2 linked regions of the Pelodiscus sinensis genome follow. The protein of the gene in region 1 interacts with the protein of each later gene in a pairwise test. Links are inferred from orthologs where the notes say so. Each region holds a gene or a part of one and is shown on either strand. Other genes may lie near its edges.

The links.
Region 2: the proteins of JADE1 (region 1) and YJU2 interact in a two-hybrid assay, tested with the Homo sapiens proteins (2 studies listed by BioGRID and IntAct). The two-hybrid records come from large-scale screens. The link is inferred for Pelodiscus sinensis from reciprocal best matches to the Homo sapiens genes JADE1 and YJU2.

The regions. Positions count from the first base shown.
Region 1 is NC_134715.1:50,834,078-50,841,948, forward strand, and holds the start of JADE1 (protein Jade-1), read right to left. Parts: upstream 3,011-7,871; 5' UTR 2,811-3,010; coding exon 2,750-2,810; intron 1-2,749.
Region 2 is NC_134729.1:22,304,697-22,312,290, forward strand, and holds the start of YJU2 (splicing factor YJU2), read left to right. Parts: upstream 1-4,496; 5' UTR 4,497-4,595; coding exon 4,596-4,619; intron 4,620-5,181; coding exon 5,182-5,282; intron 5,283-6,657; coding exon 6,658-6,802; intron 6,803-7,247; coding exon 7,248-7,382; intron 7,383-7,594.

The DNA.
Region 1 (7,871 bases):
CTAGAAGGGAAATTTACAGCTATTATTTTATTGGAGACATATATATGAAACATAGCTTCAAATCAGCAGTGGTGGAGAATCTGCTTCTTCAGGGAGAATCCTGTCACTAAAATGCACACTCTTGCAATTTGGAGAGAATATTCCACTGAGTATGAAAAGCTCTAGAAACAGAATCGTACCAAACATATTTTAGTGTAATGTTTATTAAGGTCTTATGTTTGCAAGCATGCTTATTTACAAAAGAAGAACTACTTGCAAAAGAGTTAATCTAAAACACAGTAAAATCTCTTTATTTGGAAATGGATGTGCCAAATAGGCTGTTTTAGCTTTTATTTAAAATAAAAGTTAAAATTAAAAATGAACAGAAAACAACTGTTGGTAGTTTGCTGTACAATTACCATAGCTTCTAATGTAACAACTCCCCAAAAGGGCAGATATCTATGCTTAAAACTTTCACGTGGCTACATAAACTAATCATTTATGTCAAGGCATGGCCCATTATTATTTGATGAGTGACAAGTCTGAAAATCTAGCATAGATTCCGTTTGCTGGCATTACAATCATTTTTATTAGAAGAATTATTACTAAGAAAGGGCCTGCAGATGAAGAATTAATCATAGGTATATTTATTCCCATAAAAAGGCAACACTAGTTCAGACCAAAGGTCCATCTGGCCCAGCGTACTGTCTATTGACAATGGCCAATACCAGGTGCTTCAGAGAGAATGAACAAAACCTGACAATTATCAACTTATCTAGCCTGTCATCCATGTCCAGCTTCTGGCAGTTGGAGATTCAGGAATATGTAGAGCATGGGACTGAATCCCTGGCCATTTAGGCTAATAAGCACTGATGGGCCTGTCCTCCATGAACATATGTAATTCCTTTTTTAACCCTGTTACAGCTTTGGCCTTTATAACATAGCCTGGAAACAAGTTCCACAGGTTGACAGTGCATTGTGTGAAGAATTATTTCCTTGTGTTTGTTTTAAACTTGTGGCCTTGTTTCATCTGGTGACCCCTGGTTTTTGTGTTGCATGGAAAGAGTGAGCAACACTCGTTTCTTGCTTTCTCCACACCATTCATGTCACCCCTCAGTCATCTCTTTTCTAAGATGAACAGTCCCCAGTCCATATCAAGATCTCTTTCTATGGAAGCTATTTCAATATCTCAATCATTTTTGTTGTCCTTCTCTATACCTTCACCATTTCTAACAAATATCTTTTAGAAGGGGCAACCAGAACTCCACACCATATTCAAGATATTAGTGTACCACAGATTCAGTTGGTGTCATTACAATATTTTCTGTAACATTTTTCCCCCGTTACTGGCTGCTACTGCACACTGACTGAATGTTTTCATAAAGCTATTTACAATGACTTCAAGATCTCTTTCTTTCAGTAGTAACAGCTAATTTAAATGCCATCATTTTGTGTATCTCACTGAGATGATTTTTTCCAATGTGCTTTACTTTCCATTTACTAACAGTGAATTTCAGCTGCAATTTCACAGAGATAAGGTGGGTGAGGTAATATCTTTTATTGAACCAACTTCTGATGATGAGAGATACAAGCTTTCAAAATACACAAAGTTGCATATAAATCTGCCATCTTATCACTCAGGTTAGTAAAATCCTTTGGTAACTCTTTGCAGTCAGCTTTGAAATGTTTGCATCATCTGCAAATTTTGTCACCTCACTTCTCATCTCCTTTTTTCCAATACATTAACGAATATGATGACAGAACAGGTTCAAATACATATCTTTGGAAGGCCCCACTATTTATCTCTCTCTCTACTGCGCTAACAATTAATATTCCTACCCCTTTGTTTCCTATTTTTAACCACGTTCTGATCCATGAGATGTCCTTCCCTCTCATCCTATGGACTACTTAGTTTGTTAGTATTTGTAAAAACCCAGGTACTCTATATAACTGTATGGCCTTTGTCCACATGCTTGTACATAGCTAATAATTGGGGAAAGTTCTAATAGATGACAAATCATTCCTTATAATTTAGGAAAGCCCTGTTGATTCCTAATCAATATACCCAGTTCACCTGTGTGTCTGATCAACTTTACTCTGATTTCAACTGATTTGCCTGGTACATAAGTTAGCCTTCCTGCTCTCTAATTACCAGGATCATCACAAAAAAATTGTTTTAATCAACAATATATTGGCTAGCCTCCAATCATCTGGTAGAGACTGATTTAACAGGTTACATCTTACAAATAATAGTTCTGCAATTTCATACCCAGTTCCTTCAGGACTGTTGGGTGAATACCATCTCCTCCCATAACTTATTGCTTGTTTAATTTATCAATTTGTTCCAAACCACCTATCCCATACCAACACCTTAATTCTCAAAGTGCTCTTGAAAACTAAATAATTCTAAAAAAAAAATCACCTACTATTGTTAATTTGCATATTGATCAAAACAAGTAGTCACTGCTGCAATAATGAACTGGAAAGCTAGAACTGCTTTCCTTACTGAAAGGCTTCCTCATTTGGGAGGCTTATTTTAAGGCCATGCTTAAAGTCTGTTTTTCAGGTAAATAAGCATTTTTGTTACTTGTATTCTTTAAATCTCGGACTCTCTATTTTTCAGATCCTCCTGGTTCAAATATATGTTCCCACTCCTAGCTCCCCAGCATGCTGAGACAGCAGTGCTAAGAGGTAGTCATGTCTCTTAAACCCGCCCAGTTTTTCCGATCCACACAACACAGGGCTCATTTATCGCCAGCCTTAGCAATACCGGTGCCGAGGGCTCGCAGCGCCGCCGCTGAAGCTGCTCGTACTGAGAGGTCCGGAGGCATCAGACACGAACAAAGACTGAGGAGAGAGGTGGAGAAGCCGGGAAGGAACAAGTATCACACTTAACTCCTGCCCCCAGCTGCGCTGCTGTCGCCGGACTAACCCCTTTTTGCGATTATGGCACCTTTTGCACAGCAGGCAAAAATCCCATTTTACGTACACCTCCCCGTCTGTCTCCATTTGAAACTGACCAGATCTCCCCCGCCTACCCTCCTCCTGTGCTCCTCCCCTCCCACCAGATGCACCAATCCGCTCAGCCTCAGCTGCAAATCAAACTTGATGCCCTCAGCTCAGCTCCCAAATCCATATCATTTCTACGGCCAAGCAACCCTCCCCATCTCCACCCCCCGCTCTCCATGTTGCAATGTCTGGGGAGGGTGAGATGGGGGACGGTTTAGACTAGGATTGAATAGCAGCAGCACTAAGACTTGAGGTTGCTTTCTGTCGGTCTCTCCTCCCACTCCCAGACAGTTCTGGAAACTGTGTATCACCTCTTGTCATAGGAAACCATCCAGCAGGCGGTGCAAACAAACACACATCTCCTACCACCACCCTCGTCAAAATAATAAAATCCGCGCCATAAACTGCTAATGAATGCTGGCGCTAATGAACACTGGCAAGAAAAAAATCAAGACCCGAAGCCTGACAATCTGCAAAATCTGAGCATGTAACGAGCAGAGTCCAGGGATACGAGTGCAGCAGGGCGGCTTTGTCTAATTTCAGCAACTGGAATAATCGCCTGCGCTGCACTCTTGCCTTCTCCTCTGGGGACGCCAAGGATAGCCCGTTAGAGCGAAATGATGCGGTTATTTGAAAAGACCATAACCTAGTCCCATTTTCCTTGTAAAGACCTTGGTAAAGGAAGAGGGGGGGATATTAAGAGCCAAAGTCTCCCTTACACCTGTGCAATCCCTCAGACATTTTGCACCACCCCCTGGTTTCATTCGTATATCATCATAAGTGCATGTCAGCATCATTTAGGAGATTTAAGAACTTCATCCGTAAACCCTATTGCCACTCATTGTATTGATTATCCATCACCGTAGTACTTGGGAAATTAATGTGCCACCCCAATGATTTAATCCGACAGTGCCCATAATAGGACCTACGTTACTCAATTGCCAGCTCCTCACAGCGCAAGTGGGCACTGCTGTCTCGGTGCGATTGCACGGGGTAGTTGTGGGCAGAATTTAGCCCTCGGTCTCTTAAGGAACAAAACATGGCTCGCAGAAGTTCCTCTCGAGCACCCGCACGTGTTTGCTTGGGCCGTGGAACCCCGCACGGATCTCAACTCGCCGGCCCCCAGCGGGAGGGGGCTGGGGAGCATCGCTTTGGATGGGGAGGTTCCTAAGCCTCCCGGCCGGTTCTTGTTGCCTCCGTGCACCTGCTTCCTTCTGCCCCTTCCCGTCCCCCCTCCCACACCCAGCCCGGAGGCGCCCGATGAAGCAAACCCCGCCTCCCTCCCGCGGGGGGGGGGGGGGGGACAATCTCCGCAGCCAGTGAGACCGTTCCGAAGGGATTCGAATCTGGGGTCAACATTCCACATTCCGGCCCTGGCCCGCATTCATCGCTCTCGCCAGCGGCACAGAAGCTGCTGCCACCCAGCAGAGCCCGAGCAGCCAAACAACCGCCCCCTCCTCCCTCAGACACACACAACACACCCCTTCCCTCCGTACACTCACACTCTCCCAACACGTGCACTTCAGGGCTGTTACAACTTGCTCTCCAGCAGGAGCTACTGTACACTCGGACTCAGTTGAAAATAAACGGCTCTACTATAGCAGTGTACTAAAAGCCTCCCCCTCCACACATGTCCATTAGTGCCTAAAATCACAATCGCGTCTAGTTCAGGACTAACCGGCCAACACTCTCCTACCCCAATAGGAAACTTCTGCCTATTTTCTCCGGTGAACGGTTTTTATACTTTGCGAGCATTTTTTTTTTAACTACAGCAAGTGAAATCCAAACACAATTTGCATGAATGTAATTGCAAAGCTGCCTGCACATAACACACACCCTTACTGCCCTTGAATTGATGCAACGGATATTTTGGACATGTGGGCGACACGGTGACAGATTCTGACTACGACCACCCCTCCCCCTTTCTATAGCGTCTATATCTAAAAGGACCTGCGCTTTGCAATTGCCATCTGTCTACCAACTTGATCCAACGCTTTTTACTTTTAAACTAGGCTGACCCAGCATTGATTAATTCAGATACCCGCGTCCCCACTCTCTTTTTTAAAAAACTACAGCAAAGTCAAATACATATACAAATTTTAAAAACCCTCAGTGCAGTATTGTGTTGATTTAGCTGGTGCACCTTGAAAGCTGCAAGAGCCTTATTTGCCATTGCAAAGTCTGCAGCAAAATGAAAACCAGCTAGCAGAACACTCCTTACATCACATCGTTTCTCAAAGCTGCAAAATAATCATCTATTTCCTCCTCCCACCGCTCCCTCCCTCCCCAGCAATGCACAAGTTGCTTGTGGGATAGTGAAGCTGCAACTCAACTGCCTCCCCTCGCTCCATATCAAGAAGCAAATCTTTTGGCGCCATATTAATGACGTACTATATTATTTCCACTAGGCAGCGACCTTCGGCATTAAATTGCTCTCTAGCTGCTTCTGGAGAACTCCAAAGCAAAGCAACAAAAACCCATCAAATATGGCTGTGCTGGCTGTTCCCCCGGCTCACTCTGCGGCGGCGGCGTGGAGGAGAGTCAGAATCTGGACACAGTTACCTGCTCCTGCTGCCGCGATGGTTGCCAGTGAGGTTGGAGTTTCTCTGCGCGAAGGGGTCTGTGCTGCCTCATGAGTTCAGACAAGCACTGGAGAGTGGGAGCAGATTGTGGCTCCCTTCACACACACACACACACACACACACACACACACACACACACATACAGACTGACTGACGTTTTTACTTGTTATGGAGGAAGGACTCTGTGAATCAAACTCATTTCTGGGTCACTGCTGCCACAGGGGGGAGCTACTTTAATCCCCTGCCAAAACTAGAAGGAGAGAGAGCGAACAGAAAGGAAAAAAACAGGGTGGGGAAGAGAAGAGGATAGACTACAACACTTAGGAACTGTCTGATTTAACTCTTCACAGCCCTCACTGGAGAAGTCGTGCTCCGTTTACAAATGCAGGGAGGTGCCTTCATTTCTGAATGGATTTTACTGAAGTATCTCTTTCTTGTGAGGAAGAATATTTTGCTTTGAGACATTTCCAGTCTAACTCACCCCCTCGCTTGAAGTCTTACTCATTCAATATTGTCACTCACTGCTTGAGAGCAGCCCTGTATTCCACTCTTACTGCCAACCACGAATATTCAAGTTCCTTGTTTTTCAAATAGTGTGCATATGTATCTTCAGCTAGTGTGCATGCACACTATTAGAAGATTTGTTTCTAGGGAATTATTTGTGCATGTTTGCACTAGGTATTGTTACTGTCTCAAAATATTTCAGAAATATTAATTTATTAATGCCTTATGCCATCCCTCTAAGGTAGGTATGGCCAGAGCTCTATTTTTTAAAGACGGGAATCCGAGTCTCAGAGCAGTTAAATAACTTGCCCACATTCATACATGAATAATGGTCAAGCCCAAGATTTAGAATGGATTTCTGATATTCAGTCTCCCATCTAACTCTTCTGCTTCCCAAACTTTTCCAAAGGAGATTGGGGGAAACAGGGCCAAAATGTTCTGAAGTTCTTTTTAAATCAAATTTAGTTCTTTTTAAATACAAGTTCAGAATAAGTGTATTATAAATAAAAGTATTTACCAAAGATTTCATTATGAAAAGGGGCATTTAAATGCAGACTAATTTTTAGTTTAAAATGCTTTTTCGTCAATCCATTAATTCATTTTCCATGAGAAAACAGTGGAGACTCTTACACAGAACAGAGTTCTATGTATAAACAGGAAAGAATAACGATATAGAGAACAGGTATTGTAATTTCAAATACAGAAAAAAAAGCTGTGTGTAAAATACAGGCAGCCCCCGGGTTACATGGATCCGACTTACATCGGATCCCTACTTACAAACGGGGTGAGGCAACCCCACACTAGCTGCTTCCCCCCAGCAGACCAGGGAGACGCGAAGCTAGCACCCCCCCCCACCACCACCACCACCAGACCAGGGAGTCGCGGAGTGGCTTTTCTCAGCAGATACCTCAGCTTGAGAATAAAGGACTGAGGGAAGTGAGGTGTGGGAGAATAAAACTGAGCTCTGGAGAAATGTTTGGCTAGAGTTTCCCCTACAATATGTACGAGTTCCGACTTACATACAAATTCAACTTAAGAACAAACCTACAGTCCCTATCTTGTACGTAACCCGGGGACTGCCTGTAATTCCAAAGACAGGAAATACATAATTACAAATTAATGCAGTTCCCCAGGGCAATAAATACTTTTACCTGGTGTGCCAGAAAGTCATACCTTAATTCAACAGAGGAATTGCTCTGCTATTCATCAACAAAATAATTTATCCAAACACACCATAAACATCTACTCACTCAGCCACCTGCAGAACTGGAGTCATAGGCTACGTCTACACTGCATGCTTATTTCAAAATAAGCTATTTCAGCAAGGAAAAATCCTCTGAAAAAGTTTATTTTGAAATAGCATGTCCACACTACAGATGCCCATCAAAATAGTGCTGTTTCAAAATAGAACGTCTATACTGATTGGAATAGTGATAGAAATGTAGCCGTGTTAGTCTGGGGTAGTTGAAGCAAAATGCAGGACAATGTAGCACTTTAAAGACTAACAAGATGGTTTATTAGATGATGAGCTTTCGTGGGCCAGACCCACTTCCTCAGATCAAATAGTGGAACTACCCCAGACTAACACGGCTACATGTTCTGACTACTTTCTTCCACTATTTGATCTGAGGAAGTGGGTCTGGCCCACGAAAGCTCATCATCTAATAAACCATCTTGTTAGTCTTTAAAGTGCTACATTATACTGATTGGAGACTTTAAAAAACCCCGGGGCATCAGGACAGTAGTCGCTTCCTGGAACTGCTGCCTGAGGCTAGCTGAGGCTTGTGCTTAAAGGGA
Region 2 (7,594 bases), on another chromosome or scaffold:
CCAGTTTTTATCTAATTAAATGTTCACTGTTATAGGAATGTAACCCTTCTGTCGGGTAGGGCCGGGTTCAATATATAGGGGTCCATCCCACACAGAACCAGCTCGAGCCCCACCCAGTAGCCTAGGAAATTCACACACCCCTGGGCGTCTTTGAGAGGCAATGCTTCCCCACTCGCAAGCACAGAGTCTGAGGCTACGTCCAGACTGGCATGATTTTCCGCAAATGCTTTTAACAGAAAAATTTTCCGTTAAAAGCATTTGCAGAAAAGAGCGTCTAGATTGGCACGGATGCTTTTCCGCAAAAGCATTTTTTGCGGAAAAGTGTCCGTGCCAATCTAGATGCACTTTTGCGCAAAAAAGCCCCGATTGCCATTTTCAGAATCGGAGCTTTTTTGCGCAAAACAAATCTGAGCTGTCTACTCTGGCCCTTTTGCACAAAAAGACTTTTGCCCGAACGGGAGCAGCATAGTATTTCTGCAAGAAGCACTGATTTCTTACATGAGATCATCAGTGTTCTTGTGGAAATTCAAGTGGTCAGTGTAGACAGCTGGCTGCTTTTGCGGAAAAACTTGCCAGTCTAGGTACAGCCTGAGTGTAGAAAAGAAACTTTTAATGAAAGAGAGAGAAAAGTCACATGGCATTAACTTGGGAAAATACCACAAACAGAGTTCATAACCCCCCACGAGTAACCATCCCATCTCCAAGGGATTGAGCAATGTCCTTTGCCCTCAGGCTCACCAGTCATTGGCTGTGTCTAGACTGCATCCCTTTTTCGTAAAAGGGATGCAAATTAGACATATCGCAATTGCAAATGAAGCGGGGATTTAAATCCCCCCTGCTTCATTAGCATAAAAATGGCTGCCGCTTTTTCCCGGCTCGGAGCTTTGCCGGAAAAAAGCGCCAGTCTAGATGCGGATCTTTCGGGAAATAAAGCCTTTTCTGAAAGATCCCTTATCCCTCTTAAAATAAGGAATAAGGGATCTTTCAGAAAAGGCTTTATTTTCCAAAAGATCCGCATCTAGACTGGCACTTTTTTCCGGCAAAGCTCCGAGCCGGAAAAAAGCGGCAGCCATTTTTATGCTAATGAAGCGAGGGGGATTTAAATCCCCCCTTCATTTGCAATTGCGATATGTCTAATTTGCATCCCTTTTATGGAAAAGGGATGCAGTCTAGACACAGCCCATCAGTGTAAGGGTCCCATTCACTTACCCAAACTTTCTCCCTACCCCACTTCAAATGCCCTACTTACAGCTCTGTCCAGTCAGTGCGGACTCTGACACATCACCCTGATGACTCCACTCATTGAGCCTGAGGCCATGCCACCTTTGAGCTGCTCCTGTGGTCCGCTTGTGCCGCCTGCCACCAGGCCTACCGGCCACCCACTGGTCACTCCCGCCGGCAGCCCAGCTGGCTGCTGCTCCTACCAACCGCCCCACTGGCCGCCCGCCATTCCCGCCAACTACCCATTCCCACCAGCCGCTCCTACTGGCCATCCGCCAGTCATTCCCACTAGCCACCCCGCTGGCCTCCCGTTCCCGCCAGCTGCTCTGCTGGCCACCCTCTGGTCATTCCCGCCAGCCGTTCCACTGGCTGCAGTGGGTCTGGCTGTAGGCCAAACCAGTGACTTCAGCTCTTAGTCTATGTCTACACTCATGGCTTCTTGCGCAAGATCATCTTGGCTGTGTCTAGACTGGCAAATTTTTCCAGAAAAACTTGCCAGCTGTCTACACTGGCTGCTTGAATTTCCACAAGAACACTGACAATCTCATGTAAGAAATCAGTGCTTCTTGCAGAAATACTATGCTGCTCCCGTTCAGGCAAAAGTCCTTTTGTACAAAGCTTTTGTGCAAAAGAGCCAGTGTAGACAGCTCAGATTTGTTTTGTGCAAAAAAGCCCCAATCGCAAAAATGGCAATCGGGTCTTTTTTGCAGAAAAGTGCATCTAGATTGGCCACAGATGCTTTTGCACAAAAATGCTTTTGCAGAAAAGCACCTGTGCCCATCTAGATGCTCTTTTCCACAAATGCTTTTAACGGAAAACTTTTCCATTAAAAGTATTTGCAAAAAATCATGCCAGTCTAGACATAGCCAGGGGAAAGAGGCAGGTTGAACCAGTCTTACAATTCACAACTGGCAGGCATGAGCAGGCTGGCTCAAGCTCCCCCCCCCCCCCCCCCCCCACTCAACTCTGGAAGGGGGAGGCTTGTTCATCTGAGACCCCTTGCAGTGATGGTGGGTCTCCTGTAAGCACTGGTGTCATATTTTACAGTTCCCACATTTAGGGGTAGCATGATTTGTGACCCCCACAACAGCCCAAATTAGTTACAATACATCACATTCCATTCCAACAACTGATCCTCCATCAGCCTTGGCTGAATTGGATTTACATAACCACACCTCAGATTCCTTCCCCATCCTGGCATGAGCTGTATTCACATATCAACAGTTAACAGTTAATTATCTTGCAGAGCTAAACAATTTGGCTACATCTATACTGCAGGCTTCTTGTGCAAGAACTGTTTTGCGGAAGAGTTCTTGTGCAAAAGGTCTTTCACAAGAGTGCGTCCACACTGCCATGTGCTTTTGCACAAGAGCGTCCATGGCAGTGTGGATGCTCTCTTGCGCAAGAAAGCTCTGATGGCCATTTTAGCCATAGGGGTTTCTTGCGCAAGAAATTAATGTTGCCTGTCTACACTGCCTTCTTGTGGAAGAGATTTCGCGCAAGAAGGCTTATTCCTCATGGGGAGAAATAACTCTTCCAGAAGAAGCCCTGTTTTCCGAAACTGTACTGTAAATTTACTTGCACAAGAATGCACATGCAGTGTAGACGGTCTGTAAGTTTTTGTGCAAGAACATCTGTTCTTGCACAAAAAGCCAGCAGTGTAGACATAGCCTTTGAGTGAGCACACCCACCCCCAGGGCAGCTCTCTCCTTTTAGCTGGCTGATAGCAAGGAGTAGTTTAGCCCTTGCTTACAGGAAACAATAATTATTTAAGGACAATAGATGTTGAGAGTCAAAAAGTTAAAGCTTTATAATCATGAGAGCACAAATTGTCAACATCCCATGTAAGTATCCTTACATCAAACTAAATTCTTGAGTAGCTTTTTTTGTACTTTGCCTGGCTGTAGGTTTTGATTATTATTCATAGACATCTTTTTTGTCCTTGTGGATACTGTGAAATCAACATTTACCAATAAAAAATTGAATCCCTGCAAGCTTAACTAGGCAGGAGTCAGACTAGATTGGGGTGGGCAATAGGTGGCCCACAGGCTGGACGTGGTTCGTCAGGCTTAGCCCCTGGCGGCCACCAGACACTTCATTCACCAGCTCATGCACAAGTATGGCCACTTGCAGCTCCCGTTGGTGGGGTTCACCATTTCCAGTCAATGGGAGCTGCTAGAAGCTCGGAAGGCTAAACCACCATTACCCACAGCTCCCATTGGCTGGGAACAGCAAACCTCAGCCAATGGGAGCTGCAAGCAACCGTACCTATGGACATGAGGGAAATAAATAAAACATCTGGCAGCTTGCCAGGGGCTAACCCGGGTGAACCACATCCGGCCCAAAGGCTGCTTATTCACCCCTGGATTAGATTATCACAGTGGTCCTGCCTAGCCTTAGTGATGACATATATTTGAAGCCAGGCTTTCATTTGGGAACATGTTCAGCCGTGTTGCCAACTCTTGCAATTTTATCACACAGCTTGCTTTCATGAGATTTCCTTGATTGCTTTTGAAAGCCCCAGCAGCTGTAGTAATGAGCACACACAAGACTCTTGGCTTTAATTTTTGTAAGAAAGTTTATAGGTCCTCATGGCTGTAAAGTTTGAGAATGAGACCCAAGTACATCCGAAAGGCTCACAAGCCAGAAGGCAAATGAAAATGTATTTTTTTTAAAATAATCTCAAGATTTTTAGACCCTCCGTTGTGATTTTGGAAGATGATAGGCAACAATAGAATTTGTAGAACCAGATAACGGTTAGACGATGGGATTGTGTAGAACCAGATAACGGCAGGAGCATGTGTAGGAAGCTGGAGAAATGTTGTAGCATGCTCTTTTAAGGGGCAGAGAGAGCTCTTGCAGTGAAGCCGGGCCCTTTTATCCCTGTCATGCTGAATGTGAGGTCTGTCTGGCATTGCACCATAAACCCCACATCACTCCATATTTCCTTGCCATGGGCAAACTCGGGAGCAGGCGGCTTGTTGCCTGGCTTTTCTGTATACCACAGAGGAGGTGGCTAAATGCCCTGGGAAAGCAGTCTCTAGGCGTAGCCAATGCACCGAAACCCCGAGAGCCTCTAATGCTGAGGCACCTTCTCGCTAGAGGGTCTGGTTAGGACACAGCTCCACCCGGAACCCTTCTCGTCAGGGCTTTGCGTGTAGACGGGCTTCTTTAGTGGCCGCGCACGAGCCCAGTGGGCGGGATTAGATCGTGAGGGGCGGCAGCGAGAGCCAATAGAGAATAAGGATTTTCGGCGTCCTCTTGTTTCCGACCAATGGGAGGGTGAGGGGGTGGCTCCAGGAAGTGCCCGTTGCGCTGCGGCGGAGGGGAAGAATTAGCGGGACGGCCCGAGCTGGGCACAGACCGGGGGCAAAATGTCGGAGAGGAAGGTTTTGAATGTGAGTAGGGGGCGGGCGGCGGCCTGGCCTGGAGACGCGGGGAGGGGCCCCATAGTGGGGGAGGGGGCTGGGGGGGGAGGGAAGAGGGGAAGACCCGTTGGGGGACGTAATGGGGGGGAGGGGACAGTGGAAGGGCCAGGGGGTCCGTATTGGGGGGAGGGGCATGGGGGTCCTGTAGTGGGGGAGGGGAAAACCGGGGAGGCCATAGTGGGGGAGACATGGGGGGGTCCTGTAGTGGGGGAGGGGAAAGCCGGGGAGGCCGTAGTGGGGGAGACATGGGGGGGTCCTGTAGTGGGGGAGGGGAAAACCGGGGTGGCTGTAGTGGGGGAGACATAGGGGGTCCTGTAGTGGGGGAGGGGGCAGCTACATCTGTGCTTCTGGGAGGCCTTTATAAGTTTTGTGCGTGGGAGGCAATGGGCAGATTCCTAATGTGAGCGCGACATTGGCCCTGCTCTGATTCTCTGTGGATCCCAAAGTGCAGGAGCAAAGTCCTCTCATGTCACCCTCCCCATGTTAGGCTTTGTTCCCTCCCAGCTGATGCCTGTCTGCTTTGTTCTTGTAGAAATACTACCCGCCAGACTTCGATCCATCTAAAATCCCAAAGCTCAAGCTCCCAAAGGATCGTCAATATGTTGTGCGGTTGATGGCTCCATTCAACATGAGGTGAGAGGGCCTACGGGAACTGCGTTCTGTCACAAGAGTTTGGCGTGTTACCTAGCATATCCCTGCCGTGGTTTCTTACTATGTTTCCATCGAGCTGACCTGACTATATGTTGGAGTGGAGAGTGAATCCAGCTACTTGCAGAATGTACTGACCGGATTTTGTTAATAAGGAATGCTTTTGAGGCTTTAGTTGATTTCCTTTGAGCAACTTCCTGTGTGCACCAGAATATTTACAATTTACTCCTTTTGTGGGGCAGACCAACCTTGTATAGCTGTAAACTAAATAGCCGAATATCCTCTAGAGTGGCATAATTTAGACACCCCAACGGCTATATGTGCATACATAGCCAGATGCTTAAATAGTAAGGCTGAGCAAATGTTCAGCTGCTGCACTTGTAAGGGTCTTTCAAGCAGGCTTGAAGGCAGCGTGACCAGACTCAAGTCCAGCCAGCCATTTGCTTGTGATTGATGCATCTGCCTCTTCAGATTCAGCTTCCATGTTGCTATAAAACACCTCACCAAAAACAGGTGGATAGAAAAGAATGGGGTAGTGGATAAAACACTGCATCATGACTCAGGAGATCTGAGTTCAATTCCTGCCTTGCCTCCTTCTGTCAGCTTGGGCAAGTTACCCAATCGGTCGTTTGCCTCAGTCCTTTGTTTTTTTAATTCATAGCAGTTCATATCTGTCCACTAATAATCTCTCTCTGAATAAAAAAGTTGTTCCTGCCAGATGGCAGAATGACATCATCAGCATCAACAGGCTCTCTCAGTGAAGTGAAAGTGGCCAGAAGGGTGGGGAGGGGGAAGTAGGTCATATAAGTACCTAAATATCCAGAGTGTGCAGGTGAGCACCCCACCCCCCAACTATTATGTGAGAGGGAGGGAAGTGTCAATCAACAGAAGTAACACTGATCAAAAATTAAATGGAAAAATTAGCTATGTATCTAATGTCTTTCTGTTTTGGTCATCTTAAAGGTTATGTATAACAAGAATAGGTACAAAATGATCAAGTGGGAATGTGATTCTCAATTTGACACTGCCTACGAAAATTGGGCTTAGCTCCTTTGTATGTCAGACTCTTGTCTTTCTCTAGTTTCAGGGGGCTAACCATGTTCATTTGTTTCAGCAAACACAACAGGTCCTGTGGAACTGTAAATACTTAACACATTTATTTACTAACAAAGCTATTTGGGCATAAGCTTTTGTGGGCTGAAACCCACTTTGTCAGATGCACTGAAGTTTCCTGCCCACAAAAGCATGTGCCCAAATAAATTTGTTAGTCTTTAAGGTATCACTGGACTCCTTGTTGTTTTTTCTCTAGTTTTCTTTTATATGTTGTCAACGTAATTCACTTTCCGTTTGCTTCACGTAGGTGCAAGACATGTGGCGAGTACATCTATAAAGGCAAGAAATTTAATGCTCGCAAGGAGACGGTTCAGAATGAAGTGTACTTGGGGCTTCCCATCTTTCGCTTCTACATCAAGTGCACCCGCTGCCTGGCAGAAATCACATTCAAGGTGGAGATTTTGAATGTTCTGTATCAGCTGGACTCTCTGTGGAGGCAGCATGGTCTAGAGATTGAGGCACTGTGTGTCAGGAGACTTCAGTCCTAGGCCTAGATGGCACCCAACAAATACTGCTGTTTTAAGATAATCATAGGTCAAATTTGATCTTTGTTCCCTTTACAACAAACAGTGAAGTGTCCCATTCATAGTTTGAATAGTGCACTATTATTGGTCAAATGATGAGTGTTTCTAGGGCTTAATTATTATTTTGGCAGGAGCAGGGATGTGACTAAAACAAGGTTGAAATGCTTTGTGTAGCTTCATGTGTTGCTTTGAAAGTCACCCTGGCCATTTATAACCAGCCCAGAATACATTAAGAATGACTGGAGCAATAGCAGCCTGTCTTGCATGTGGCACACTTGCAATAATTCCCTTATGCTGCTCATGTCTTCCTCAGACGGATCCTGAGAACACAGACTATACCATGGAGCATGGCGCCACTCGGAACTTCCAAGCAGAGAAGCTGTTGGAGGAAGAGGAGAAGAGGGTGCAGAAGGAGAGAGAGGAGGAAGAGCTGAACAATCCCATGAAGGTATTTGAATGTGCCCTTTCCCCCATGGTGAATGGGCAACTTAGATTAGCAAGTCACAGGCCACTTGTTTTTCGGTGCATGGTAGGAAGCTACTGCCCCGGTTCTGCAGCAACCGTTTGGAACTGGCAAAACAGAAATGGTAACTGAGGTCTCTGCTTTTGCTAGGTTCTGTCGTATCCTAGGATGAGGAAAGGGATTTTACCATAGTCTTT